4 linked regions of the Saccharomyces cerevisiae S288C genome follow. Changing the gene in region 4 together with the main gene of any one other region gives a genetic interaction. Each region holds a gene or a part of one and is shown on either strand. Other genes may lie near its edges. The genes, in order: PTK2, ORM2, SCS7 and PBS2.

Region 1 (8,433 bases), 370 kb from region 4:
GACACACCGCTGAACATTGTATTTCTCAAGGGTGATATGATGTTTAGACTGGAAAAATGCTGGTTTCTACAATTGTAAAGGTTATACTTCTCATTTACCAAATACCTTTGTTTCGGAGACAAGTCTTTTTCAGCATAATCGCTTCTCGAAATTGCAAGCTCTTTCTTGTATGTTTTGGTGACTAAATTCTTTTCTGCATCCGTAAAGTCGTCTGGATGAGAATTAACCCATTCCATTAATTCATGTATGGTATATTTAGCTAAACCTTCTCTACCATCCACCTCGTCAAAATAGTCGTTTTCGTCAAACTTATAGTCTTCAATAAGGGCAGAAAAGCTTTCGCCCGAGCTTTCTTCTTCTACAAATTTGGACATGTACTGTTTAGCCGCATCGGAACTAACGCTAAGTCCCGTGATGTCAATGTATATACCTGAGTCAATATCGATGAAACGAGCATCAATATTGTTTTCGCCGTTCCCATGAACTCCTACCGTAATTGCGCTTCCTACATCTAGTAAGAATCTTCCATTACCTTCTCTTGGATCTTCTAATATTAGGGATTGGTTGAAATATTGACTCAAGTAATGTAAATGTTTAATGGGCATCTGTAAATCATGGTCGACATCCCAGGGAAACTTCAGACCATCATATAGATATCCATACAATGTACCATGCGATAGCCAGGAAATTAATCCGTTAGCCTTAACAAATTTCTGAAAATTTCTGATCAAAGAATTCAATCTTGCTTCAAACTCCTGAGGGTCATTTAGGAGATTATGTCCGATTGAGAAAAATCGCCTGTCTCTATGATGACCATCGGCAGTCGCGTCCGTAATATCAGAGGCCTCTGCGAAATACTTTTGCTGTAATGCAGGGGACGTATTTACGGACGTCTTTAAACTTCGTAAATAGTGGGTATCATGAGATGGTAGGCCTTCAGACCTGAGCCTGGTCTCTAATTCAATGATCCTCTCTTTTGCATTGAATTGGAAATCAGATGGTGATAGTTCTAGATACTCTCCAGCGTATATTGTTTTATCCAACGCTTCAACGTCAAGTTTCCTTTTTTTAGTGGATCCATGATGTAAAAATTTTTCAAACATGGAAGTGTGGTTGAAAATGAGGTCGCCATTTACCATTTCATTTCTGTGCCTCTTAATGTAATTCTGTAGTAGATTTGTCTGTACTATATTTGATTTGGAAGAGTCTGTTGTCTTCAAATTGATTCTGTATGCATCTTTATCGCTGTCCAGTACGGTTAATGACAGTGGAGTAAAGTTAGAATATAACAAGTGGTTTTTGGCTTGTAAGTCATACACTTCTGGCCTCAACCTTTCAGAAATTTCGCTTATGATAAAAGGCAATTCGAAGGGAGTACCATTGGAATACGCGTCATTATTCATGCAGTGATCATGTATGGCTTGCTGCACAGAATTAGAATCGACAACCTTTCTTACCCTGTTGTACCAGAGCGATTCGTCATATTTATTCCTATTTGTGACGAATAAAGGCTCTTGGACTTCACTCTCTACCATTTCTAGCACATTTTTATCAAAGGCACCCTCGCAAACGAACTGGCAAGATATGTTCGTGTGTCTCAGTGCAATGAGTTTGTTTGTAGAGTCAAAATTAGCCCAATCGTACCACGAAAATGCGTATTCATTGGAATCTGATTCTAATAAGTGATCTAGTAAAACTGACCATACCAGCCTTGGGTCGTTATCGTAATATCTCAATTCATCTACCGAATCAAGAACTTGCCCTTTTTCAGGACCCATTTTCACAGTGAGAAGATTATTCTTCAAGGTGTACGTGTCGATCCATTTGCCTGAAGTATCAAAATTCATTTTTTCGTAAAGTTTGGCTACGTTGTCTTTTGATCTCAGATCGAAAGAAGCATGGTTGTTGTTTCTGTTAGTGTAAGCAAGCGGTTTGAAAAAGAGCGCCATGAATGACTTCCAGTTACCGTCAATAATCGACGAGCGACCGCCCAATACAAATATGGTAATGAATAGTAACTGGATAGTTAGAAGAGTAATGATTATCTTTTTAAAGTGAAGCCGCAGAGATCTCAAAACGTACATGGAGAACCTGCGCAGTGATAACATCATTGGAATTGTATCTTGCTTCGCTTTCTTTTCTCTTTCTCTCTTTCTTTCTCTTCCTCTCGTTTAGACAATCTCAATGATTCTAATTCATAAAAATAAACGTTGGTTGTTTTCCAGAAAGTAAATAACAGTTGTTGTTAACTATATAAGATACAAATAGCGGAATGCCAGACTAAAGACAAGTGCACTCTTACTTGATCTTCGTCCAATGTTTCTTCTTAAATAATCAAGCAAAGCCCCAAAGTAGAAATAGGCCCGTGATTGTCGCGGACCTTCAAGGATGTGACGTTTTTGCCTGTTTTTTTCAGGTAATCCTCTCCACTACTATCTTTTTTCTTTTCTGCGACCCAAAAAAAAAAAAAGGAAGGGAAAACTAAGATTTTTTGATAAAAGGCGGGAAAACGGAGGTTGTGCGTATTTCTCTTGGCGATTTTTCCATTGAACGTCAAAAAATTCTTGGCAAAACTTTTTTACTAAGCCATTTAGGGATGAAAAACAATAACGTACAAAGACATATTTGAAAGTCCGTCCCGTCCTCTTTTACTTGCTGAGTTTGAGGCTGAGTGATTCTCTAATACCATCCGGGCGGTTTCAAATATGCCGATGGAATATTGATAAAAACTTAACAGAGGTGCTATGGGGCAGAGACGCAGATACATAGGGAGACTCGAAATACATTTAGCTATCTATTTTTAACTCTCAAGCCTCATGTGGATTATCGCTCCTAGTGCTTTTTCTTTCGTTCTCTTGTTTCTTGTGAGTGTGCATATCCTCGTATTCTATTCCCTCCTTCCTTAAAACGCGTTTCATGTACTCGATTTCTTTGTAAGCATTTCCCAGTTCTTCCTGCAGTTTCTCATTTGCACTGGCTAATTGCGATGCGTTTTGCTCGCTAAGCAATTTTTGTAACGTCCACTTTTCGATGTTTGCTTCATCGGTTTCTTTCAATTTTTGAATGTATTCAGCGGCACACGCCAATATTGCTGCCTTACTTGATTCTCTCACGGGCAGGAGGTCGCTTAAAACGTTGATTGCAGTGTTGATGTTTTCGCGGCGACGCCTTTCGACTTCTTTATGGGAGTCTTTTCTTTGCTTTTTCCACTCGTCTGTTGTGGCCAAAGTAGTAGGTTTTCTTCCACGACGACCCGGCTGCATGCTTATATCCTTTTTGAGATCAATGTCAGCGTCATCATTGTCTTCATCATCCTGTTGGTGTTCTGGCCCACGATCGTGTTCTGCCAATGGTATGAGCATGTCGTTTTTAGATTGCTGTGTAGATTCCATTGGTGAAGACGTCATTCCCTCCAGGGAGGTGTTTGGCTTGACTCCTTCATTTGATGGGGTTATGGCTCTTTCCCCATTAAGGGAATCCTTGTGCTCACCATTCGCGTTCGTTTGATTAGATGTGTGGGCATCAGAACTATCTTCCTGGCCCTGGATTAAGTCTGTATAATTGACGGTAGCGGCAACAGCAGCCTCAGCCACTGACGCATCTTCGTCATCACTTCCTTTCTCATCTTTGTTAGACGTCAGTCCGCTTTCATACTGACTTTGAGTCCCTTTTAGCGTAGCCCCTTCGCTCAACAGAGCAGAGTCAATATTTCCGTCATTGCTCTCTTGTGACAACAAGCCTTGATCTCTTTGCTTTTTCCTGGCCTCGCTGTAGTTCTGCTCCTCGTTATAGCCTCTTTTTCTTGCCGAATGGATTTCCTCATCCTCAGTAGAAAGCTTATTATTATTTGCCAGAGAGTTCATCGTTAATAAAAGTGTAGAAAACCGTATTATATTTTAAGCACTTGATGTTGGTACTTGTAGCAGAAATGAAAATGACCGCCAACTAAAATGATTAATTAACAAAGTGTTTATCTTTAAGGTATAATGGTTTACATTCTACATTAAATAAAAAAACGTGATAAGCACGTGGATAATTGTTGTTTGCCCAATACTTTTCTCGTCCGATTTTATTTTTTTTTTGACCTTGGTGGGTGAGACATGGTGGTCCCGAAGGATCCGAGAGGAATGAGAAAAACCGATCACGTACATCGATGTACGGGAAAAATAAATAATAAAATGTTTGTTTATTGTTTGAAGTAAAATATATAAGTACATATGTGGATTTATATGTGTGTGCTTTATTTCATTGTTTGATTTATCTTCCGTTCTTTATCTTTTCCCGGTGGGATATTTTATATAAAAAGCTTATAAGGAAGGGTATGAAAGAATATGACGATACTAAAGCATAAAAGAGGGAATTAAAGAAGTCCTAACGTCTATCTTGAGATAAAGGCGCTCACGGATGACATGTTTGTAACGCTGTTGGTAATGTCCAAGTGGTGGTGAATTACCTTCTTCTTTTTCGAGGATGACACGCTTGGACTTCCGAGGCTTCTCAGTGAATTGCTTGATGACGAAACATTCGGTGCGCTAAAGTTCTTTGTAGAAGCCGGTGTTTCCGATTTGAGTGATAGGTCGCTCATACGCTTATCTAATTGAGTGCCAGCCTTTGCAGGGAGCGGAGTGGGGCCATTATGTGTTGGTGTAGTAGGGGTGGAGTTTAGCATCGACTTTAATTCCTTCATTGTGGAATCATCTTCGCTTAAGTTGTCCTCTACTTTTGTGGAGGTTGGTGTTGGTTTTTCCAATATGCTGTCCACATTAGTCGTGGTAGCCTCTTCAATGACTTTGTCCTTGTCGCCGTTCTTGACCTCATCTTTCTTCAAATTTTCCTTTTTATCTTGCTGCTTAGGTTTGGTGCTTTCATTCCCCCCTTCATCCCCAACATCGTGTGTTTTGGTCTTTGCGCTATCTTTTACCTTGGATTTTTGTTTCAAGGAAGGAGATTCTGCAATTTCCAACATCGATCTTGGTTTAGAAGTGAGCGTTTCCTTTTTTAGGAATGGATTAGACGTGTGAATGACCTCTTGATCATGGGGTGCATCTAATGAATTTTCACTAAAATCATTGGTAGAAGTACTTTTCCTTAATTCAGGAACCCTTACTAAGTCATCATCATTTGGCTCGACACATGTTTCAATTTGTTGGAAAAACGGATCATTAAATAAATCATCCATTGTATATCTAGTTGCAGGGTTCGGGTCAGCCAATCTCCATGCGATACGCGTGGCATCAGTATTCTTGAAATTTCTTGCTAAAGAGTATTCGGAACCAGGACCCGGCTTGTGGCAGCCCTTGTCCCTGAAATGTGGGTTTTGATGATTGATGAAGTTGTCATATGACACTTCAAATTCCCTGAATCTCGCATCAGTGTTACAAGAATCGATGAAGGGGATGATATTGTTAATCATGGTAATCAGCATGATTCCGAGGGCATAGGAATCCATGGCCAACGGATTATAGGGTTTTTGGAACTTTTCGGGGTAGTGCTTCTTGGCATCGAAGTACATTACCTCTGGCGGAGTGTATGGTGGAGAGCCAATCATACCTTGGCATGTTTTCACTGGACTAGTGTAGTCATGAGGTATCACATGGTACCAATCAGAAATACCGAAATCCGTCAATTTGCATATACCTTCTTTAGAAATTAAAACATTTTCGGGCTTCAAATCACGGTGAGCAATACCATTGTCATGACAAAACTTAATACCTTGGGCCACTTGTTTGAAAAGACAATATTTTTCATTGAAGGGAACGTTCTTCCAGCCTGTTCTTTCCATCAGTTGGAAGAGGTCCTTAACACCTAGTTCCATAATAAACCCCCAACCACGAGTTGTATATGTGGTCGTGGGAACTTTTAGAAGATAAAAAGTATTCGTGATGTGAACGTTATGACTTAAATGCTTAGCTATGATGAATTCTTTGGAGCATCTCTTGTAAAACTTCTCGGGTGACTCGTGGTATATCATATTCAGTTTTTTTAGAGCGTAAACATCCTTTTGCCTGTAACTTGATTTAACCTTTCTAACTTCACTAGACCCACCCGAACCAATAGGTTTATTGTCCGTATCAAATACGAAATTATCCGTTAAATGGACACTATATTGTTTCATATCTTCGGGCAAAAAATCGTTCGGATTAGCAATTGGAAGGGGCAACATCCGTATCTTGCTGTTACCATCATGCATGTAAAAACTCAAATCGTTCTCCTTATTCGTATTCAGAGTGTCTGCAAATGCAGTATCTGGCCTAGCATGGTTTGGGCTTATGCCGTATGGATTATAAACTATATTCTCGTTGGGAAAATGGTGACTAGCCATGCTATTAGACCTTTGCGGTAAGCCCGCGTGATGAGTATTTCTTTCTTTGTTTCTCGCCCTTTCTTTTTCCTTTTCTCTATCCAAAACTGCTCTATCCCTATCTCTTGTCGAGGCAATGCCAGTACCTGTGCCCAGAATATCAGAGGGAGAGTTCAAGTAAGGGTTATTATTATGTTTAATTAAGTCCTGCAATGCGACAGAGGACTTGTGTGACGACACAGACCCATTTGAAAATCCTACAGAAGCATTGTTTTTTCTTCTATGTAAAGAAGCAGATCTCTGCCGTGCCCCAGCAGAAGACGAAGGTGAATTACCACCGCTACCACTGCCACTAATGGACGGAGACGTTGGCCTTTTTCTTAAACTTCTCCCATTGCCCAATTGTTCGGCACTAAGCAGTAACGAAGAGTTATCCGTGTGACTGCTGGAATTAAACAGGCGTTTTCCCAATAGTTTCAAAGTACTAACAGAGGGACTTTTATCTACCTCTTTGTCCTTACCGTTTCCCGCCATTATCTTATTCAATCGGTTAACCTGTAAAAAACTGCTACGGCTTACACAACTTTACTTTCCTGGTGTGCGTGCGATATCGTGGTTTGGATAAGGGTAGCGACGGGATGTGACAATACCTTTCTTTAACACTATATATAAACCTGCTTTTACCGTCAACCGGATATTATTTGGTTCTACCTCCCACCTGCAAGGGGTCGTGCCAATGACGAAAAGACAGCCACCCATGCACCGCACTCGCACGTGGCAACTATTTGCGCCTTTGCCCAAGAGGTTATGCTTGTAGATGGGGTGACCGTACTAAAGCGTTCATGTTGTATATACCATATATGTAGGCTTGAATGGCTATAGGACGCGGGTATGTTTATCATGCTGCCGGCACGTAGTACTTGCAGCTCCGGCATTTCTAAACTGTACCTGTAGTGGAAGGGTCTTTCCAATAGTTTTGCAAGACATATCATTTTGCACGCATAGAACAGTTTCGGATACTTTTGATACAAACGGGGAGGAATGGTTTATTCAGTAGGTACATTAAGAACGTTTGCCTTGAGATAGCGTTTGGTGCTGTTATTTTGTGAAGAACGGAGACTTGTTTGCTGTAAGGGATAAAAAAAATGGCAGTACAGTTTATACTGTGCTTTAATAAGCAGGGTGTGGTGCGGTTGGTGAGATGGTTCGATGTACACAGTTCGGATCCTCAGCGTAGCCAGGATGCCATTGCGCAGATTTATAGACTCATATCTTCCAGAGATCATAAGCATCAGAGTAACTTCGTAGAGTTTTCCGATTCGACGAAACTCATATACAGGAGGTATGCGGGTCTGTATTTTGTCATGGGTGTGGACTTACTTGACGATGAACCCATATATTTGTGCCACATCCATCTGTTTGTGGAGGTGCTAGATGCATTTTTCGGCAATGTCTGTGAACTGGATATCGTATTCAACTTTTACAAAGTCTATATGATAATGGACGAGATGTTTATTGGAGGGGAAATACAAGAAATTTCAAAGGATATGCTGTTAGAAAGACTAAGTATTTTAGATAGACTAGACTAGGATATATGTACAGATCCTCCTAGAAGAACGAAAATTTATCATGATCAATATGCGTACTCAAAACAGGCTCAACGATTTGCCAAATAAGCGCTTCAACTTCCTGAATGCCCTTATTAGTAACGTCTACAATCGTGATTGACTCATCGCCTTTCCTTATCTCTTTATCCAATAGCTTCATAAAAGTTTGCTTCACTTTTTCTTGAAACTTAACAGTTTCGTATCTTTCGTCACCAAATCCAGATTTTTCGGCGTTATTGTCGACATCTTGAGTGCTTAAAAATAATGTCAAATCCGGTTTCAGCAACCCTACATCGGGTTGCAAGCACCAATCCAAATCCATTCCATTTGTCCCCTTAGCGGCAGAATATGCCACTCCAGAATAAACATATCTGTCCATGACAATGTTCTTGCCTTCTAGTAAATCTTTCTTTATCTTGTCAACTATTTCCCATCTATTTGCCGAAAACAAGAGGTGAATTGCCTGATCTGATAATTGGAAACTATCATCCGTCAAATATTCGTTTATGAGTCCTCCGATTCGGG
Region 2 (6,977 bases), on a different chromosome or scaffold from region 4:
ATTTGATCGCTGCATGAGGAATGCTGGTTATCTATGTATCGGGACATGGTTGCAACGTTTCCAACAAGAACAAGAATAGAAAAAAAAATACCGAAAGCGTCCTTTGCGTTATACCTACCAACCGTGTACAAGCTTTACTCTTCTTGCTTTCTTTATTTGCTATGTATCTTTATGTTTATATGTATATAAATCTGCCTACTTGTCTTCCTTTGGCATGCCAACCCTATGTTTTTTCAATTGCTCAATTGCAAAGAAAATTAACATTGTGAATGGACCCAGTCTAGTGAAACTTGGCAACCACCCCCGGAACATGAAAGATGGGCCCTCTTTGCGGACAGCGTCGGCAAGGATCTTCAAAGCCGGTTGATGGTCTCCGCTGCCGTTCATGATACGTGTCTTCATGACGTCTGCTGGAGAGCACACAGTGGTGGCCACCAGGCCAGCCAACAGGGACGCTGTCAAGTGTGTATAGTTCTTGGATGCGTCGAAATCTAATTTTGTGACCAAGTAGTTCTTAAACACGTCATACGTAACGACCTGACTTGCCGTCATCAGTATGCCCCTAACCATGTTAGGCTTCCAACCGGTAAACAAGGTTTTCAGTCCACCCTCGTAGCGATATATCTTGTACACACCATCGATAGCGTTTTTGTAGTTTCTCCTCTTCGCTGCCTCCAAAGCAGAGTCGTTTTGCATTCTGATATTTACAACATCTGCAAAATTCCCTGCAAGCCCCCCAATGGCACCACTGAACATGGAGCAAGGTAAAAGATACGCCATGTTAGTCAATTGCTCGCGTGGGATCACATTCTCTTTCAACAAGTCGTATGCACCGAATCTCACCGTCGTGTATGTACATTGCCTCAACACAGCAGCGCTCAGGCCGGAATATAACCCCACCACACCTTCATTCGCCAAGATACTCTCCAACATCCTGAAGAGTGTGGGCTTGGGCATAGGAGCCGCCTGCAGTCTGACTTTGGCCAAGTCAAGAGGATGTGTCACCATGGTAGCAAAGATACCCGCTGCACCTCCGTACCACCATGGATACTTGATATTCTTACCGGCAGACTCTTTTGCGTTGGTTGACATGCCGTCCAGCTGTTGCGTTATCTTTTCGACACTTTCAGAGCAAGAGAAACGAACCTCTACACATAAATATGCATACGATTATGTATATCCATATATATATATACACTACAAGCCGACCGCCCGACCGTTTCCTGCCCCCAACATTGCAGCGTAATCGCTTGCCAAAGACCACACCTTGCAGCCCTTTTATACAAACATGTCTACGACGTACAGTGGAGAGGGCCCTTTCCTTGGCACTCAACTGAGATTGCGACGCGATACCTTCTGCGACCGTTCCTACTATCGCGGCCATAACTCCAACAACGACAGCGGATGCGCTGTTCTGCGGATGCGTGACCGTATCCGCAAAGAACGAAGATTAAATTTAGGGTCCCCGGCATTGAGGATGGTTCTGCCAAGAACTCACGATATAAACCAGTTGGTTGAGCATCGCATGGATGAGTATGGCGTATTTTGATTGCTCATATATAGTGGGGGGGAATACTCATGCTGTGAAAAGCACAACTCTTTTCACTCAACGAGGTTAATGCCTTCTTTGTCTCCACGCCGTTTTTTTCTGGCGCCCTTTTGAGAAAGATAGCCTGTCCCGTAATCGTGGCTTTGGCAGAGACAGAGGGTGAGCGAAAGAGCGGGCGAAACCGAGAATGGATTCCGAGTAAAGGATTGCGATGGCATGAAACAAAACCGAGAGGCACTCCTTGTAAGGACACACATACACAGACGTAAACATATATATACATACGTATACTCAAATATATCTTCGTATCATTAGGTCAGCTTCTCTCTTCCGCACGTAGAATTAGAGAATTAACGCAAGACTATACCATTATAAAAACGCATAAGAAACAGTTTCATCATGATTGACCGCACTAAAAACGAATCTCCAGCTTTTGAAGAGTCTCCGCTTACCCCCAATGTGTCTAACCTGAAACCATTCCCTTCTCAAAGCAACAAAATATCCACTCCAGTGACCGACCATAGGAGAAGACGGTCATCCAGCGTAATATCACATGTGGAACAGGAAACCTTCGAAGACGAAAATGACCAGCAGATGCTTCCCAACATGAACGCTACGTGGGTCGACCAGCGAGGCGCGTGGTTGATTCATATCGTCGTAATAGTACTCTTGAGGCTCTTCTACTCCTTGTTCGGGTCGACGCCCAAATGGACGTGGACTTTAACAAACATGACCTACATCATCGGATTCTATATCATGTTCCACCTTGTCAAAGGTACGCCCTTCGACTTTAACGGTGGTGCGTACGACAACCTGACCATGTGGGAGCAGATTAACGATGAGACTTTGTACACACCCACTAGAAAATTTCTGCTGATTGTACCCATTGTGTTGTTCCTGATTAGCAACCAGTACTACCGCAACGACATGACACTATTCCTCTCCAACCTCGCCGTGACGGTGCTTATTGGTGTCGTTCCTAAGCTGGGAATTACGCATAGACTAAGAATATCCATCCCTGGTATTACGGGCCGTGCTCAAATTAGTTAGTTGGCTCTGCCTATACGCATATATGTATATATATATATATATATATGTATGTATGTGTATATGTATATGTACGTATACCTTACATCATCATCTTTCTTTATATTCTCTCTAATGCGCATTTACATCGGAGTACACGTCAAATCTTCTTTGTTTGGTTAAGGGTACCGCTTGTCTAAATGACTCAATGACTTCGGGATCTAATTCAGCATAAATAATCTCTTCTCCCTCGCCAGCTTCAGCTACAATCTTGCCTCTAGGGTCCACCACTATAGAGTGGCCATATGCATGGTAAGAACTCTGTAGATTCCTTGCGGGAGAACATAACATCACGTACACTTGGTTGTCAACTGCCCTGCTTCTTGCCAGTAAATGCCAATGCAAGGGCCCTGTGACAGTGTTGAATGCACTAGGGTAGATCATGGCAAACGCACCCTTGCGTGCACTTAGCATTGCGAGTTCCGGAAACCTCATGTCATAGCATATACCTACGCCAAACTTACCATATTTCGTGTCAATGGTAGTAGACTTCTCTCCAGGGCTCAAGGTTTCACTTTCATGGAACGATATACCGTTAGGAATGTCTACATCGAAAAGATGGACCTTCCGATGCTTGTCAATCAACTTGCCATCCTCGTTGAAAATTATAGAGGTGTTGTAGATTTTGTCTGTCTTTGGATCCAATTCCGGAATTGTTCCTCCTACCAAGATGATTTTAAACTTATTGGCTAAATTAGACAGAAATTGAACTGACGTCGAAGGCTCTTTCGGATTGATAACTTCTGAATACTTTCTAAACTGATCAGTGGAGTACGGAGAATTGAAGCATTCTGGCAATACGACCAACTTGGTATCCGGCTGTTCCTTCATAGCCCTTTCAATGAACGTTGCAGCCCTTTGAAGATTGGCCATTTTGTCAGGACTCGAGCCTGACAGTTGGACCAACGCAACTTTAATTTTTTGTGAAAGAATCTTCGAAGCACTCATACTGGCGATCTTCACGCCCTCCTGCTACTACAAAAGCTGTGTTTTTACAAGAATCAAATTAAGTTAGCAAGATATCATACAACATTATTGATAATTTTAATATCGTGTTCGTACCTGATGACGTATCTGTGCATTGATAAGGCCCGCATGGTTTCAGAAAGCAGAGCGGGACGATTCCAAATTAGTGGCCTTGTGCTTTGCATGTCAATTGTGTTACCTTCAGCTCGTGGATTTGTTTTATCAATACACAGTCTACAGTCAAGAATTTTTTTTTATCAATTTGTGCGTTCGAGCGTATAAAATAGCCGCTGTAGCTACTTAAGTTCCTGTTCAGCGATAGTTTTTTTCCATCACACGTACTATGGCACCAACTTTGTACTATTCCTTCCCCGTTTACTCAATTCTTGAAGCCAATTTGTACAATTCCCCATTAGAGTCAAATAAAAGGATGCCTCACGGAGGTATGTTACCCGCGCTATTTCACATGGCTCATTGAATTAGAGGTGGAATTTGGTGTACCCTCCCCTCCTCATCTGATGAAGTAGTGATCCGACAATTCTTAAAAGTTGTAGACATTACTCTTACCACCAACTAAGTTGTATTTATATTGCTACCCTTATCCTTTTATATCTAACTAGCGCTTATAAGGTTGGGGCAATACTAAAACTGTGATCTTATTCAGCTCATTAAATACGTGGCAGTACGTACCCTATTAGAAACAATAGGAAACAACAGAGTCGGAAGAAGCCAAATGCCAGATTTGAAGTCCAAGACCTTGTCAAGCCAATCTTTGGGAGCGGCTATTCCTCCAGAAATTGTGTACCAAATACTTACATACCAGTTTAGGGATTTGTTAAGAAATGACCATCCAGGTACGGCAGAAAAGTTTAACGAAAACTTAACTACATTTGTCAAAAGTAATTTAACTGTTAATAAGACATTCTCCCATATTTGTCAAGTTCTCATTTATAGATATTGTAATTTAACTACCGCAAAGAGATTTCACGGTCTTTTACAGACTTTAAAGGGAAATAGATGCCTTTGCAATAAGATTGAAGTAGCCGATTTCCAAGAATTAACGTCTATTGGACTGGGGAGGTCCAGTGAGATGAATAAAATGATTAAAAATCTAACTAACGAAACTCTTCTTGAGTTTCTAATGCTCACAAAAGCAAACTTAAGGGAATTCTTAGCATGTGAAAATATTCAAGACGATTTAGACGATAATATCATAAAGTATATTCTATCTCCAGGAAAAGTCTTGAGTGTAGTGGATTTCTGTGGCTGTTCAGGCACCACTTTCACAGAAAGTTTTATTAAGGCCCTGGATAAATACTACCCTAATAAATCGATTGATCAGTACCGGCTGGAACCTATTCAACAAAATTATCAGATTACCTGCTTAGGCCTAAATGATTGTATTGATCTACCATCACACGTCCTTTGGAAGATCTTAAAAATGTTACCAGAACTACAAAAACTTGATTTATCTCATACCTCCATTGATGATAGTACCTTATATCACGGCATACCTCACTGGAAAAATTTAACTCATCTTTCCCTCGCTACTTGTCTTCAAGTTACTCCAAGAGCGGTTCTGGAGTTTTTTAGTCATCACCCAACAATTACAGACCCTGACAACACTTCTACATTAGAATGGCTGAATGTTAGTGTCATTGCCCATTCCTCATCTTGGAATGAGGTGCACACAATGTTTTTACTAAAAAAACTTTGTCAACATGGCCATAACAAAACTTTGCAATATCTAAATATCGGCGGTTTACCGCTTCATGTTGCACCTTCTTTCGGCGAGGACCCTATTAGCGAATCCACTTATTATTACCAATGCCGCGATAGCTTACAGTTCATAAAGTGGAATTTTCCGAAGTTAAAAAGTTTGAGTATAAAAGGTAATAGTATCCCGATATCTACGCTCGTAGAATTTTTGACACCAATTGATCAAGACCATCCTAATTGTGCTCAAAAATTGAAGTTTTTGAATATTTCTGGTAACTCTTATGTGAATAAATGGACTATTCAGGACTCATTATTGTACACTTGTTCTCCAAGTTTAGTCGCGTTAGAAGTTTCCTTTGACTCGTGGCAACAGATTGAAAAACTAAATGATAGACATGAAATTATTGCATACAGATATAAAAACCCAAATTCGGTAATTAAAGATATTTCAACAGCAGAACAAGTAAAGTGGAAATGTTACATTGATTCTTCTTATGGTAGGAGATATTGGTTATATAAGACTGATCCTTTCCTGAATCGTGATGACTTGGATTCTAAGTCAAATTTAACTAGGTATGATTTTGAGGGTCACAAAATCATAGAAATTATAAACCAGCCGGATTTCCTAAAGTTTGCCCAAAGTAAAATCATGCTTGGATGTGGTCTAGTTCCTCAAAGTGGTATTAGACGTAAACTATGTTACAGAGATTTAAAGCCACCAGTTTCTCAATTCTTAAATAGAAAAGGTGCGATCAGCCTTGGTGATACTCCACTACCAATAATTACCCCAACATTACCTCGTGGTGGGTGGAGAATCATCCATAATGAGGACGACAACAACAGTCATGTGGAAGATAGCCAAAATCACGTGAATGCCATCCCAAGAAGGAATTCTCTGTTGAGCAGACCCACTTTAAGAAGCAACAATGGTTCTTCCTCTGCCAACCCCTTTGCTATCAATGTTTCTCCTGCATCTCAAATCAGGGATGGTTTGTACTGGGATAGGTCGGTCCATGATTTACGTGAGCTATCATTGCAAGAACAAAGAATTCAGGAGTTAGCTGATGAGCAGCAGGAACTAAGAACAATCGCAAACTTTGAAGAGACTGACGACGAATATTTGCACGATCCCGACTTGCAACGGAGAAGGTCCCAACTTCACTTATTTGAAAGTTCGCGCTCACGTTCAGGAAATAAAACAAGACCAAGTTTAACTGGTGAACACTCGTCCTCGGCATCGTTTCTATCCTTCTCCCACTTCAACCACCTTCACAAGCGTAAGAATTATTATTTCACGCATCCCGATGAATTTGTCTATGATCCAAAGGATCCTCTGACGACTCAAAGATATAGATTACATTTTGAAATAGTCAACGAATATCAAGTTTTTGGGTGCATTGAGCGTGGAATGTATAGATACTACAGTTTAAAAGCATAGATATTTTTCTCTTTACTTCCTTACCCTTCCTCCGCTCTCGTCTTGTGTCTTGTATATGATTTCTATATATGGTAAAATATTGCATACATCGTCTACCATTTAGCCAGACTTTTCGGAAACGAATTTAATGATTGCAGCAAATTCCCTTCCCCTATCAACTGATTGAAGAATGCCTCGAAACGCAATGTGATTTTTAAGTTTTCCATTTTTTTTTTTTTC
Region 3 (7,216 bases), on a different chromosome or scaffold from region 4:
AACCTATGGTGCTGCATAATCCTGCATGCCCTTTGCAATATCATGGGGTTTCCTGGTCCTTCAAGATTGAATTTACATTTCACAGTAGTAGACAAGAAAGCTGGACGCATTTCCAAATTGGTCTCAATCTGGAATAAGTGCTACTTCGCACTGCTGGTCCTTGGATTAATATCCCTGAAGGATACCTTACAAACTCTGGTAGGAACTCCTGGTTATAGAATAACCCTTTAGCCTTTTTTACGTACTTGTATACCGTTTAAAATTTCCTATGTACTATAACCTTTTTTCACTACTATTATGGAATTCTATCGAGCGACCGGGCTTTTGTTACGGAAGAGTGAAAAAATCGAGTTTTGGTGTTTTGGTGAAAGAATTTGGAGGACTATAAAGTACCTATACTTTGTATTACGGACTCAATAACAAGTCGTTCGTGTCAGTGGTATTGAAGTTGTCAGATCTAAGAGTAGAGAGAAGGTGGCATCTAATAGGTTTCGACGTTTTTCTTTTTTTAAGGTTTTTATTTGGTCTCCTAGAATTTAAGGTCTTAGTTAGTTTTGGTTTGTTTTGTGGGTTACATATTTTCAATTCAAAGGAGAATTTAGCTGTCTTTTATAATGTCCAATAGAGATAACGAGAGCATGCTGCGTACTACATCAAGCGATAAGGCGATCGCTAGTCAAAGGGATAAACGGAAGTCTGAAGTTTTGATTGCTGCACAGTCCCTTGACAATGAAATCCGCAGCGTAAAAAACCTAAAAAGATTGTCGATTGGGTCAATGGATTTACTTATTGATCCAGAATTAGATATAAAATTCGGTGGGGAATCTAGTGGGAGACGATCATGGTCTGGCACGACATCCAGTTCTGCGTCAATGCCAAGTGACACAACCACCGTTAATAACACACGATATAGCGATCCAACTCCGCTAGAGAACTTGCATGGGAGGGGTAACTCAGGGATAGAATCCTCCAATAAGACTAAACAAGGTAACTACTTAGGTATAAAAAAAGGTGTTCACTCTCCATCCAGGAAATTAAATGCTAACGTATTAAAGAAAAACTTATTATGGGTTCCCGCCAATCAACACCCTAACGTTAAGCCTGATAATTTCCTAGAGCTTGTACAAGATACTTTACAAAATATACAACTAAGCGACAATGGTGAAGATAATGATGGGAATAGCAATGAAAATAACGATATTGAGGATAATGGGGAGGATAAAGAATCACAATCATATGAAAATAAGGAGAACAACACTATCAACTTGAACAGGGGGCTGTCAAGGCATGGAAACGCGTCACTAATACGAAGGCCTTCAACATTGCGGAGGTCATATACAGAGTTTGATGATAACGAAGATGACGATAATAAGGGAGACAGTGCCTCTGAAACAGTAAATAAAGTCGAAGAAAGAATCTCCAAAATAAAAGAGAGACCAGTGTCGTTAAGAGATATAACTGAAGAACTGACAAAGATCTCAAATAGTGCAGGACTAACCGACAATGATGCCATTACATTAGCCAGAACTCTTAGTATGGCTGGTTCATATTCAGATAAAAAAGATCAACCACAACCGGAAGGGCATTATGATGAAGGAGATATTGGTTTTTCAACTTCACAAGCGAATACTTTGGATGATGGTGAATTTGCCTCCAATATGCCCATCAATAATACCATGACATGGCCTGAACGATCGTCACTGAGAAGGAGTAGATTCAACACTTATCGAATCAGGTCACAAGAGCAAGAAAAAGAAGTAGAACAAAGTGTGGATGAAATGAAAAACGACGACGAAGAACGTCTAAAATTGACCAAGAATACAATAAAGGTCGAAATAGATCCGCACAAATCCCCTTTTAGACAGCAAGATGAGGATTCTGAGAATATGAGTTCGCCTGGGTCAATTGGTGATTTTCAAGACATTTATAATCATTACAGACAGTCTAGTGGCGAGTGGGAACAAGAAATGGGAATAGAGAAAGAAGCCGAAGAGGTACCCGTCAAGGTTCGAAATGACACAGTAGAACAAGACTTAGAGTTAAGAGAGGGAACAACAGACATGGTAAAGCCAAGCGCAACGGATGACAACAAAGAAACGAAGCGACATCGTCGAAGAAACGGATGGACATGGTTGAACAATAAAATGAGCAGAGAAGACGATAACGAAGAAAACCAAGGGGACGATGAAAATGAAGAAAACGTGGATTCACAAAGAATGGAGCTCGACAATTCCAAAAAACATTATATTTCTCTATTTAATGGCGGTGAGAAGACGGAGGTGTCAAATAAAGAAGAAATGAACAATTCAAGTACTTCCACCGCCACATCACAGACAAGACAGAAAATCGAGAAAACTTTTGCGAACCTATTCAGAAGAAAGCCACACCACAAGCATGATGCATCATCATCACCCTCGTCGTCACCATCATCGTCACCATCAATACCAAATAACGATGCCGTGCACGTTCGCGTGAGGAAAAGCAAAAAGCTTGGTAACAAAAGTGGAAGGGAGCCGGTTGAACCCATTGTGTTGCGCAATCGCCCTCGTCCTCACCGTCACCATCACAGCCGTCATGGTTCCCAAAAAATAAGCGTAAAAACCCTTAAAGATTCTCAGCCGCAGCAGCAGATACCATTACAACCACAATTGGAAGGCGCAATAGAGATAGAAAAGAAAGAGGAAAGCGATTCCGAGAGCTTGCCCCAACTACAGCCGGCCGTTAGTGTAAGTAGTACCAAAAGTAACTCTAGAGACAGAGAAGAAGAGGAGGCAAAGAAAAAGAACAAGAAGAGGAGCAATACGACAGAAATTTCCAACCAACAACACTCCAAACACGTCCAAAAGGAGAATACCGATGAGCAAAAAGCTCAACTACAAGCTCCAGCTCAAGAACAAGTCCAAACTTCAGTCCCAGTTCAAGCTTCAGCCCCAGTCCAAAATTCAGCCCCAGTCCAAACTTCAGCCCCAGTTGAAGCTTCAGCTCAAACTCAGGCTCCAGCGGCACCACCATTGAAACATACCTCCATATTGCCCCCAAGAAAGCTTACATTTGCAGACGTCAAAAAACCTGACAAACCAAACTCCCCGGTTCAATTCACAGACAGTGCCTTTGGGTTCCCACTGCCTTTGCTGACAGTGTCTACGGTTATCATGTTCGACCACCGTCTACCAATTAACGTCGAAAGGGCCATATACCGGCTGAGTCACTTGAAATTGAGCAATTCGAAGAGGGGACTGCGCGAGCAGGTATTACTAAGTAACTTCATGTATGCTTATCTGAACTTGGTTAATCACACTCTGTACATGGAGCAGGTAGCCCACGACAAAGAACAACAACAACAACAACAACAACAACCCTGAAAAGGCTTCAGCGCTGCATACATAGACATATACACATCACACGTACATACACGAAAAGATAGCTTTCATGCTCACAAAGCTACGTTCCCCACAGAATATTTCCCAGGACAACAGGGAAAGTTGGACAAACACCAAACTTCTCATAATACAATAGCCGAAAACAGTCTTGCTTTTGATAAAGAGAGCTTTCTGCGGCCGGAAGAAAATGTGCCTATTCCGCGGGGCCGTTCCGCGCAGAAACTACCGCACGACGTCGGAAATATAACGGGGTTTTGCGCGGATTTACTGACGTGTGACATCTTTTCGCAGTTAATTTTTTTTTCAATTTGGAACCGTATAAGAACAGAGGTATTAGATAGTAGAAGCTATTGTGTCTATTGTCTTTGATTAGTTTTTTTTTCTATTGTTATCGTGGCAGGCACTAAAAGCGGTGGTAAGCTAAAACTAGTACGAAGATGTCGACTAATACTTCCAAGACTTTGGAACTGTTTTCAAAAAAGACGGTACAAGAACACAATACTGCCAATGACTGCTGGGTCACTTATCAAAACAGAAAGATTTATGACGTGACCAGGTTTTTGAGCGAACACCCTGGTGGTGACGAGTCCATCTTGGACTATGCTGGTAAGGACATTACTGAGATCATGAAAGACTCAGATGTGCATGAACACAGCGACTCCGCGTATGAAATCCTTGAGGACGAATATTTGATTGGTTACTTGGCAACTGACGAAGAGGCAGCGAGATTGTTGACTAACAAGAACCATAAGGTTGAAGTGCAGTTGTCAGCTGACGGTACTGAGTTTGACTCCACTACTTTTGTAAAGGAGTTGCCCGCCGAGGAGAAACTAAGTATTGCTACGGACTACAGTAACGACTACAAAAAGCATAAATTTTTGGATCTGAACCGTCCTTTGCTGATGCAGATTCTGCGTAGTGATTTCAAGAAAGATTTTTACGTTGACCAAATCCATAGACCAAGACATTACGGTAAGGGGTCTGCCCCGCTATTTGGTAATTTCTTGGAACCATTAACTAAAACAGCTTGGTGGGTTGTTCCAGTTGCTTGGTTGCCTGTAGTTGTGTACCACATGGGTGTTGCTTTGAAGAACATGAACCAGCTATTTGCATGTTTCTTGTTCTGTGTCGGTGTCTTTGTTTGGACTTTGATTGAATACGGTCTTCACCGTTTCCTATTTCATTTCGATGATTGGTTACCTGAAAGTAACATCGCATTCGCCACACATTTTCTACTACATGGTTGCCATCATTACTTGCCCATGGACAAGTACCGTTTAGTTATGCCACCTACTCTGTTCGTCATCCTTTGTGCTCCATTTTACAAGTTGGTATTTGCTCTGCTGCCACTTTATTGGGCTTACGCTGGTTTTGCTGGCGGTCTTTTCGGTTATGTCTGTTATGACGAATGTCATTTCTTCTTGCACCACTCTAAATTGCCTCCCTTCATGCGTAAGTTGAAAAAATATCACCTGGAACATCATTATAAAAACTACCAACTGGGATTTGGCGTCACATCCTGGTTTTGGGACGAAGTTTTTGGCACCTACTTAGGCCCCGATGCCCCATTGTCCAAAATGAAATATGAATAATTATTGGTCAGCCTCGTCCAAAATTGTCAACCTAGGAAAAACAACATTACGAGCAATGAAATCTTGAGCAAAGTTCTTTTCTGCGACATATTTATTTCAAATCTTTATTTATATTATTATATGTAACTACGTATATATACATACACATGGAATGGAATCATAGATGAAATCGATGAACAAGCACGTTATTTCTTAAACGAATATCCAATCGATGACGACTATACGAAAAAGCGGCCTCAAAAAAGAACCGAATTGACAGGTACATTTTTCTTTCACAGATCAGGTTGGCAAAAAAATACTAACCGTATCCTGTGTTACTGTCGTTAGAACAGGAATCAAGATGAGCACAGTGAAGTTATCTGATAGTCCCTAGACTCTCATTGACTTTTTGTAATATTAGGACACAGAATATACTAAGGGTTCTTCTCGAGAATAAATGAACACATAAGCAAATCAGAAATTCTACATACTATAAGAGTACCTCATACCTAATCATTTCTTAATCCATTCCGTTATCAGTAATTGCATTCGAGGTTCCATTAAACTGGTGCCGACATTTATATAGTTATATTGGTCCAATGATCTTATCATCCTCCACACCGTATACAACTATATCTTAGTAAACAACGGCTAGTAAGTGAAACGATGGTCCATTTTAGGCACGAAGAATAAAGTAAAATCTGTATCTGCGTTGCGCAAATCATCAATTGCATTTATGTTGGAACGAGAGTAATTAATAGTGACATGAGTTGCTATGGTAACAATCTAATGCTTACATCGTATATTAATGTACACCTCGTATACGTTTAAGTGTGATTGCACCTATTGCAGAAGGAATGTTAAACGAGAAGCTCAGACAATACTGAAGCTGTGTTAAAGACCTATTAGTTGAACATGTTATGGTAGGTACATATATGAGGAATATGAGTCGTCACATAAATGTATAGTAACTACCGGAATCACTATTATATTGGTCATGATTAATATGACCAATCGGCGTGTGTTTTATATACCTCTCTTATTTAGTATAAGAAGATCAGTAATTATTTCTTCATTAATACTATTTTTTACCTCTAATTATCAACAATTTACATAGCCCAAAGTCATGAGGAGAGCTTCTACTATAAACCTCACTCACAATTCTTTCTTTAGTCAGACGTAGAAACCTAAGATTTGTTAGTATATACGGTTTTCCGTACCAGTACAAGATCCATTGCTTGCGATATTGTTAAAATAGGGACCATCTTTCTTAAAAAGGTTCCATAAAACCGGAAGTTTTAGTGTACACTAACAACAGAAGAAAAAGGTCCTATAGTGTAGTGGTTATCACTTTCGGTTCTGATCCGAACAACCCCAGTTCGAATCCGGGTGGGACCTTCCCTTCATTTTTCGTATTTTACGAAATTTAAACCATCATTTTTTTTTTTTGAACCAATGCGAGAAAAAAATAAAAAGAGAAAGGTAAGAAAAAGAAACCAACCTCTATACAGATACAATCGCTCATCTCGATATACTTATTTTTACATACCAGAGATATCGAAGAAGTTACTCAATTATTTGACAAGTGCTCATCATTATGTCATTTGAAGTTTTGCGTGTGACAGACAAGTCCTAATAGGATATCCTTTAGATAAACCATTGGGGCCCCTTATATGAGGTTTATACACACACATATATATGTATACATATGGCTAAATTGCCTTCTGAGAGCCTGATAGTTTTTTTAGCACTTTATTCTTTCACTTGTATTTTTTTAGACATTTCACGTATTCGGCTAATGGTATGGCACTTTCTCACGTGCCTTTCAGACTATGTAATATAAACTGTTCTAACCTGCTCTACACCTGACTCACATGACAGCATTTCCTTTCAGAATCACATAACATTTTTTGGTTTTAATTATCATATGCATTTCAAGGGAGTCATACATAACCTTTCGGGAAAGGCCCCTTCGCTTCCTAATCTAGGGTAAAAGGCCATCACAGGCTCTTTTATATAGATTAAGAACTAAGGAAGTGTCACGCAAAATAGTCGAGACCTAGAGCCATCAAGAATAATAAAACATAATCCAATAATGTCTGCATCTACTACAAGTTTAGAGGAATATCAAAAAACTTTCCTTGAACTGGGATTAGAATGCAAAGCACTAAGATTTGGGTCATTCAAGCTGAATTCAGGCAGGCAGTCGCCATATTTTTTCAATCTTAGTTTGTTCAATTCTGGAAAGCTGTTGGCAAACCTTGC
Region 4 (8,148 bases):
GGAAAATGTTTCATGAGGTACTTCTTCGATGCTTTTTTTCGATAAAGAACGGAAGATTTTGGGTTCAAATCATCGAAGGTTGAAACTCTTTTTGAAATTTTTCTAGGAGGTTTAGTTATATCGAATTGAATTGATGGCCCATGCTTTTTGTCTGTTTCTGCGTTATCAGTAATGGCTATCGGGCCCGAATTTGATCTATGAGTATTTGTTCTTAATGAAGGTACTTTGTTACCAAAATTTGTGTGTAACGAGCTTTCGTCCGAAACGCTCGCCGTACTGTTTGCTTCACTTGACACGGAATTTTGATCAGTGTTACTTTCATTTCCCTTATCTCGAATCTTGATTTTGTTACCATTTATGCCGGTGGCCTTCTTTAGCTTATTGACATTACTTTTATATCTTGTGCCATCCGCAGGGGACCCGATGACTAAAGGGGGACCTTCATCTTCAGCAGTTGCTTCATGCTTACCTTGTAGCATCATAATGGATCGATACATATCGGCTGGGCTAATATCTCTTGAACCCCTTCTTTTTGCAAATTTCTCTGAGGGAACTCTTGCGGGTCTTTGTTTGCTGTGTGGCTCATCAAACCGAAGACTGCTTGGCTTGGGCTTCTGATTTAAACTTTCGTCTGCAACTGTGTTAGACGAACTACCTACCGTCGAGTAGGAGTTGTTCTCCTGATATTCTCCATTGTCATCCGTTTCGTCTTCCTTAACGAAATCATCTAAACTGCCACTGCTACCATTGTGATTCGTATTATTATTGCTGCTGTCCCTACTAATGTCATGAGAATTCTGGTCGCTGTGAACTGAGTCCTGCTCATCTCTATTAACCATTTCTCCGCTGAACAATTTTTCTTGGAAATCATCTGTTTTAGCTTGTTTCCTAGGATAAGACGTTCTTTGGGTACCTGTTCTATTCTTGGTCATGGTTCTTGCTGTTAGTTCCCTTTCTAAGATTGTTTTCGTTCTTCTCATCTTAAAATTTCGTCTAGAAGAGTCTCTAATACCATCGAAGTAGCGCTCAAACCAGTAAAGCCGTACAAATGCCAAGCAACTATGAACTGCAATTGGTGTTGATATGCAGCATACGATATACAGAACAATTTGTTGGTATAAGCTTAGATTGTTGATATCCACAGTATTTAAGCCACCTTGTGTAACTGCGCCCGCTGCTAAAAACAATGTATCAATGTATCTGGTATTCTTAATGGGATATAGCAGGATTGAAGTTATTAATGTCAGGGATATCGTGTAGAAGTAGTGAACCGCGATAAAACTGGGGAAGATATATTTTTTAACTGGAGCAAAATAGTGACCACATAGAGCAATAAAATCACGAAATTTATGGCCGAAAGATTTTTTATATCGTATTTCAAGAGATGCCAATGTGGGCACTCTACTCATCGTTCTTCTAAAATGCATTGTTAGTTATCAAAAAAAGGTAATAACTTTAAGTAAAATGGATAGGAATGACTTCCTTGAGAGCCAATAGAATACCCTCCTTCTTTTTAAGGCAATACAAGTGTGGAATCAGTGATGCTAATGGTAAGGTAAAAACAATGGGCGAAAGGAAAGCAACAGTAACAAAAAGTTTCTAATAATGTAAGAGCTCTTTATCTTGATAGGTAATTATTTACTGTTTTCCGTGAAAGTAGCAAAATTTAGAAGTTAGGGTAAGATACAGGTATAGTTCCTGGTCCAGACTCCACATCTACTCTCAATAACGTGGATTTGAACTTTCAAAACACCTTTTATTTTCTCGATGATTTTGGACTTTTTTTTCTTTCCTAGCCTTGAGCCGTAAAGAGCGGAAAAACCATCAGACAATTCCAGAGCATTTTTTCTTTCTTGCGTTGTCAGCCCCGAACGTAAATAATTTCGAGGAGTCGATGGCCGTAGCAATAATCGAATAACACAATATATTGACGTCCACATCGCTTCACTTGCCGGTGCTTGAAATAACATCCCCTCAATACTCTGTCATAATTCGTGCCCTTTTTTAGGTTCGACAAAAGGAAGTCAGACGATATATATATATGAATATATATATATATATATGTCTATAACGAGTATAATGCAAGTTTATTACAATAAACATATGTATATGTAAGGTTTTTTTGTATTCGCCGCATCATTTCCACAGTAGCTTTTCGTCTGCTTTTTTTTTGTTGTTATATTCACGTGCCTGTTTGCTTTTATTTGGATATTAACGCTATAAACCACCCATATGTAATGCCGGTACATTTTTAGATAAACCATTCTCACCACGTTCCCGTAAGATTTTGTTGCGCCTTTCTAATCGTTCAGTGATATACTCACTCATGTGGACATCCTGGTTTCTGTATTTTACTAACCAAGGATGCTCTGTTAAAGCTGCGTATGTAGGTCTTCTTTCCGGAATCTTTTGTAGACATAAAGAAACAAAATCTTGTGCGTCAGAACTGAATTTATCTGAAGGTAATCTCGGTGGCGGCCCATCAACAATAGCGCTCAATTGAGAGAAAATGTTGTCGTATGTTTCTGGTGGATACGGATATCTACCTAGTGCCATTTCCAGAATGCTTAAACCTAAAGACCAGATGTCTGACTGTACGGTATAGGTGGCTCTATCTGGATTCAACGATTTGATTCGTTCAGGTGCCATGTATGACTGACAACCAATATTAGTCTTCGCTAAAGATGCCACCAAATTACCAGAAACACCGAAATCGCACAGCTTTACGGTGCCTTGGTTGGCTGAACATAAAATATTTGTTGGTTTGACATCTCTGTGTATGATATTATGCTGCTCTTTGAGTTCTTTTAGTCCATGAATGACAGCATTGGCAATAAACGCTAGCTGAGGTTCATCAATGCCGCCGATTTCAGATGATTCGTCGTATATTTTATCCAAGGAACCACCATCCATGTATTCCATACACATGTAGACGGCGCCCTCAATAAAGAATGCACCATAAAAATCCACAATATAGGGAGAATTGCATTTATGCAAAACTTCTAGTTCCATTAAAATTTGTCTAAATTTAGCCTCATCTAGCTCCAAACGGACTTCCTTCGTCGCCATAATAACATTTGTGGGCTTATGCAGTACCTTTGAGACGTTACCATAGTTACCATGACCCAGTTCATCCAAAAATTCTAGTTCGTCCAATGTAATTCTCGAACTAGAACCATTGCTGAAATCTATTCCTTTAGAGGATAGCGATAGTTTGCCTGCAAAATTCAAAGAGCCGGATTTGATATCCACGTATTTCGAGAAATTTGCGAAAAGACCACCACCACCACTACTACCAGAATTTGAAGAGTTGTTGCTGTTTCCAGTTCTGGGTGTAGTGCCTACAGTGTCATGTGGGCCTTCGGTACTTGATGAGGTGGATGTGCTTTGCACACCATTTATCAAAGAACCCGGATTCGATCTTTTCCCTTCAACAACTTTGCTGTTTGATAAGGTTTCTATATGTTTTTTGTTTGAAGGGCTTGGGGCAAACTGCTGCGGCTGTTGAGCTGTTTTAGTGGGCATTTTTAATGACATTCCTCCTGGTGGTAATTTGAGCCCTCGACGGGCACTTAAACTTTGTTTTGGTGTGTTGATTATAGCAGGGGCCTTATGCGGGGCAACATTTGGTCTTGTAGGGTGCTGGGTAGAAAGCGGCCTTCTTGGTGCCCTTCTGTTAGGATTCAGCAATTGCGCCTTATGTGTTGCTGATGCAGTATTAGAAACTGACGGCGTAATGTCAGTAGCAGGTAGGCCAGTATTTACACCAATTGTTGTGGCGGTAATTTTGGTTGTATCGATGTTAATATTTACGTCGGTAATGTTTTGTGTTTCTTGATTGTCCAGAACGTTCTTAAGAGTGCTCTTGGAGGACGCTTGCACGACTTGGCTACTCATTCTTTGTGAAACCTTAGAACTTCCTGCTACGGGAAGAGGCGGCAATGGCTTATTAACAATCTGCTGAATATGTTTAGGTGATTGTGAACTGCCTTTGTCTTGCTCGCTTTGATTACTGCCCACGCTGGCAGACCTTTTCAATGCACGTTGTTCTTGAAAAGCTTTTACACGAGCATGAAGGTCAGCGTTGATGTTATTGTAGTGCGAGGACGTCGAAGATGTTCTCTTGACAGCAGAGCCATTATCTGAGCCTGTTTGCTCGTTTAATTGGATAGATGACTTACCAGTTTTCTCATGGAGACTGAGGTTAGCAAACTTGTCTTCCATCTTTGAGAAATTAACGTCTCGATCTGCTTAATATAATAATGTATCTATAGAAATGTACGGAAAAACGGGTACTTTATCAGTTTTAGTTGTATGACGTTGATGTCTGGAGAAGGACAAGGAAAAAGTAGTTCTGTGAAACGTGTACCCACAATAGCAGCTACCCTTGTCTTCTTTTTTAGTAATTCTTTTCTTCCGGCAAGCAGGTAAGCAGTTATCTCTGTGTCCAGATCCCTTTGAAGTAAAGTTTATTCAATTTTCTATAGAACGTGTATGGCTCACGAAATCGCTCACTAGTAGACAACACACGTTAGAAAGATCCTTTCAGGTGCAACGGGACGCAGAGGGAAAAAACTGGAAAAATTGCCACTAATGAAAAGGCAAATAGAGGATGAAAAAGAAAAGGTAAATGCAGATGAAAGGACGAAGACAGATGCGATAAGAACAGCGTTTGAGATCGGATGCAAAGGATATAGTTTTGCTCTGGCACTGTGTTAGTGTGCTTGTGGGTGCTTTTTCTTCTATTTGCAAGAAAATGTGACCTTTGCGGATAACCTATATAAGACGGGGTTTCCTTGCTTTGAAAAGTTTAAAACAGATATTCTTGCAGATACAGGAGTACATACTTGTGCGATCATCACCAAGATAACAAGAGATTAATCAAATATAGAAACAGATATATAAAATAGATACAGAGTGCTACGCAATAAGATTTTTTTTTCCTGTTGCAATACTATACTACGTCTTGACATGAACTCTCAACAGTGATATTTCTGGGGAGTTGTATCGATGTGTAGTAACTGGTAGTAGTCTAGTAATGAGTTGTTCTCATGTTAGTGAATATTCTGTATGCTTCCGTGCCTGCTGCTATGCTCAAGGGGAACAGAAAAGCAACACGCTCAAAATAGTAATCTACATGAGAAACAAGACTTAGTCATTGCCTTTTGCCAGAATTGGCTTCGGCCGTAGCTGTTGAAGTTAATCCCGCAGTAAAAGACAAACGGCTCCGTATTCAGCAGTTCTATATATCACCTCATTAAGACACAGACGATCTTGACAGTTGCAGCAGAAACACGCCACCATATGTTCTTGTAGCTACACCACGATTGAGTGTCTGCACTCTTATTCAAGTGTTTCAACTAAAAATAAGTCTAAGCTGAAAGATTATTACTTTCATTTGATTTTTTTATTTTTGAAGCCCCATTTCCTTAAATCGTTCTCGTGGACGAGATTAAAAATAGAAATGATGTAGAGGAGATGCACTAAACATTGCCTCCCTGCACCGCACAATTACTGTAGCCATTGTGCTTATTTATATCTACCTATATATCTAAGCAGCTATATCATGGGCTTGACATACGCGACTTCTGCTTGCTTTTGTGCTCTCGTTCAAAGAGCAATTACTTCATTCCATCTCAAGAAGGACTGTTGCAGGTCATTATTTCATTTCTTACTGCACGTATTTCGATTGAGCTGCTAATGAAATCACAACACAACTACCCAAATAGCCTAAGAATTGGAAAAAGGCCCTTCTTGATAATTGGATCTGTTGAGTTGGCGTATGCAAAGCTGTAAATATTGAACGGATCTGGTTGAAAAAGAAAATCATGCTTTCTTTATTGTCGCGTAAACTGTACACTGCTGCAATTATCTAGCTGGCTGCTAGTAGCAATGTGCTCTTCGTTACGCTACCGTAGCTTTTCTCCGTGAGTGACTGATTTTGCTGCTGTACATTTAACTCCTTTTCTATTTAAATTGTGCGCTGCCATTTTCCGCATCGGAAAACCTAAGACAAATTTTGATGAGTATACTTGGTACGTGCCCACGCAGCCAATAGTGTCTCGTTCACGGCATCAGATACAGCAGTACTTAAAAGGGCACTGAGGATCAGGTTTCCTAATCTGGAAAATTTTGCAGCACAAAGCTTAGTTATTTATCTCCGATTATGGATTTCTGCAGTACCTAGGTTTCAACGTAAAACTGTAACAGAACCTTTCGTCATGCAAGCATAATTGAGTTGAGTGCCTTGTTTCCAATTTCAGTTTCCAATTTTACTTCAAAAATCACTTCTGAAATAAGATTTAAGACTTGTCAACCCTGTTCCAAAAGTGGACGCATCATTAAATGTACCTTTTTTCTGTACAAACTTTATAGTTTCTAGGGTTGGTGATGTGACCGTCTCTGGCAGAGTCGCAATTTAATAATAAATATTAGAATTGTGCTCTGTAAATGTATTAGATTCGTTGTTAACAATCTTAGTGACTGAATTCTCATTACCTTCACTGTTGTTCAAATCGATTTGTTGGCCAGTCACATCTTCACCTCGATGATTTATCTTCTGTTGTTGTTCCTTTTGGACCATTTCTAGAGCGGCCATGACGTTATCTTCGAGGCTCAACATAGCATCGTTCATTATAGTATGGTCATTTCTATCTAAATCGGGAACTGAATGGTTCATATCTCGTTCATCACGGTTGACGGGGTTCGCGTGATCCTGCGATTCGTTATTCGTTAAATGGGGTACAATTCCGTTGGAGGCAACATCCAAGTATTTTCGTCTTTTTCTTGAGTTTTCTTCCTCCACGAATCTATTGAAGGAATTCATTGACTGTTCGTCGTCCAATAGTGGCGTGCTCTGTATTGAGGAAAGAAACTCGGATCTTTTATTCGCTTCGTTGGCTTCAGCTGTTGTTGCGGGACTATTCGTGGCGTTCTGGAATGTGGGTTGTACGATATTAGTGTCTGGCGGAGTGGGTTCACCCTCCACATCATTCAGCGTACTGGAAATAATATTTTGAGGGAAATTTATTGCCTGTCCCAATAACGCATTATCATGCTTCTTGCTTTTTCTTGGATTGTTGATAGTTTCTATATGCTGCGTCGGTAGCATATGCGCCTGCTTAACTGCTCTCTTTTGTTCAATTATTACCCCTGTCCCGTCTTTGTACCTCATCTTGCATTTTTGGCACCGAGAGATTACCTCCGAAACAGTACTCTTGATTCCTCTCCAATGGTATTTTTCACCAATTTTGGAGGTCACCTTGTTGATGCCTAAATGTTCCATTAAATGTATCTCTAATGCAATCTGGATTTGTTGATCCGTGTCATAAATGATTTCTTTTCCTTTTGTCATCAACTTGCCATTCAATACCGAATGAGTTTTGGAAAGTACTCTTAATCTAGCCTTTTCGTTTCTATCACAATGTAAAGGATACTTGCCTGTTTCCAGAAAATGCTTTAATCGTTCATATTTCCCAATTTCGATACTCTTTTGAGGATCTCGTAACAAATCTATACTTTTCGTAATATGTGTGAACTCTTTACCATACATGAAAGAATCTACTGGGACATCAAAGCCCTTGAGAATCCCGGCTTCAGGCAGCTTTCCAATCCGCCTAAAGTTCAATCCTTCCAAAATTCTTCTGATTCCTACGTTCGTTCCGTAAATTAACGGGAAAAAGGAGGACGTAAATCCTAATTTCTTTGACCATTCTATGAATGTTTCCATTAGTGTTTTCCCAATACCTTTTCCACGAATACCAGCATTGACCAGAAATGTTCCTGTGACCACATGCGCTGACCGTCCAGGGTATGCTGGTTTGAGGTCAAATATGCCTAGACATTGCTTCTCCCACTGCATACTTAGATTTAAATTGCGACGTTCTTTTCGTTTCTTATATTGGGTGGTGTGCTTCGTGGTTTCTATTTCTGTTCCAAAATTATCATTTGTGTCCGCTTCAGTATCCATACTATAATCCAGTTCTGGTATTTCGCCTAACACCATAATACAAACGTGACCATCATTATGAAACCAGACATTTTTGAATTCTTCTAGTGATAAAGTCTCGTAATAAGGAAAACTATCTCCCTTTTCCACTTCCATGTTAAATTCATCTAGAAGGAAATTTAAGAGCCCTAGCGGCAATA

Evidence for each region.
Region 1: mutations in PBS2 (region 4) and PTK2 together harm fitness more than expected from each alone (negative genetic interaction), as found in Saccharomyces cerevisiae (5 studies listed by BioGRID).
Region 2: mutations in PBS2 (region 4) and ORM2 together harm fitness more than expected from each alone (negative genetic interaction), as found in Saccharomyces cerevisiae (4 studies listed by BioGRID).
Region 3: mutations in PBS2 (region 4) and SCS7 together harm fitness more than expected from each alone (negative genetic interaction), as found in Saccharomyces cerevisiae (5 studies listed by BioGRID).

What each region holds. Positions count from the first base shown.
Region 1 is NC_001142.9:544,189-552,621, reverse strand, and holds PTK2 (protein kinase PTK2), read right to left. Parts: upstream 6,836-8,433; coding exon 4,379-6,835; downstream 1-4,378. Other genes in the region: MNN14 (Mnn14p), read right to left, coding at 1-2,111; CBF1 (Cbf1p), read right to left, coding at 2,808-3,863; APS2 (Aps2p), read left to right, coding at 7,447-7,890; CDC8 (bifunctional thymidylate/uridylate kinase), read right to left, coding at 7,910-8,433. UniProt on the Saccharomyces cerevisiae protein: Essential determinant for high-affinity spermidine transport. Required for the activation of the plasma membrane proton pump PMA1 via phosphorylation of 'Ser-899'.
Region 2 is NC_001144.5:826,782-833,758, forward strand, and holds ORM2 (sphingolipid homeostasis protein ORM2), read left to right. Parts: upstream 1-1,948; coding exon 1,949-2,599; downstream 2,600-6,977. Other genes in the region: DIC1 (Dic1p), read right to left, coding at 196-1,092; NIT3 (putative hydrolase), read right to left, coding at 2,708-3,583; LUG1 (Lug1p), read left to right, coding at 4,335-6,758. UniProt on the Saccharomyces cerevisiae protein: Component of the SPOTS complex that acts as a negative regulator of sphingolipid synthesis. Acts by inhibiting serine palmitoyltransferases (LCB1 and LCB2) activity.
Region 3 is NC_001145.3:807,379-814,594, reverse strand, and holds SCS7 (fatty acid alpha-hydroxylase), read left to right. Parts: upstream 1-3,817; coding exon 3,818-4,972; downstream 4,973-7,216. Other genes in the region: RCE1 (CAAX prenyl protease), read left to right, coding at 1-231; ZDS1 (Zds1p), read left to right, coding at 615-3,362; YMR272W-B (uncharacterized protein), read right to left, coding at 3,399-3,506; orotate phosphoribosyltransferase URA10, read left to right, coding at 7,047-7,216. UniProt on the Saccharomyces cerevisiae protein: Ceramide hydroxylase involved in the hydroxylation of sphingolipid-associated very long chain fatty acids. Postulated to hydroxylate the very long chain fatty acid of dihydroceramides and phytoceramides at C-2.
Region 4 is NC_001142.9:175,880-184,027, forward strand, and holds PBS2 (mitogen-activated protein kinase kinase PBS2), read right to left. Parts: upstream 4,225-8,148; coding exon 2,218-4,224; downstream 1-2,217. Other genes in the region: TRK1 (Trk1p), read right to left, coding at 1-1,427; MCO6 (Mco6p), read right to left, coding at 5,672-5,830; SPT10 (Spt10p), read right to left, coding at 6,419-8,148. UniProt on the Saccharomyces cerevisiae protein: Kinase involved in a signal transduction pathway that is activated by changes in the osmolarity of the extracellular environment. Activates the MAP kinase HOG1 by concomitant phosphorylation at 'Thr-174' and 'Tyr-176'.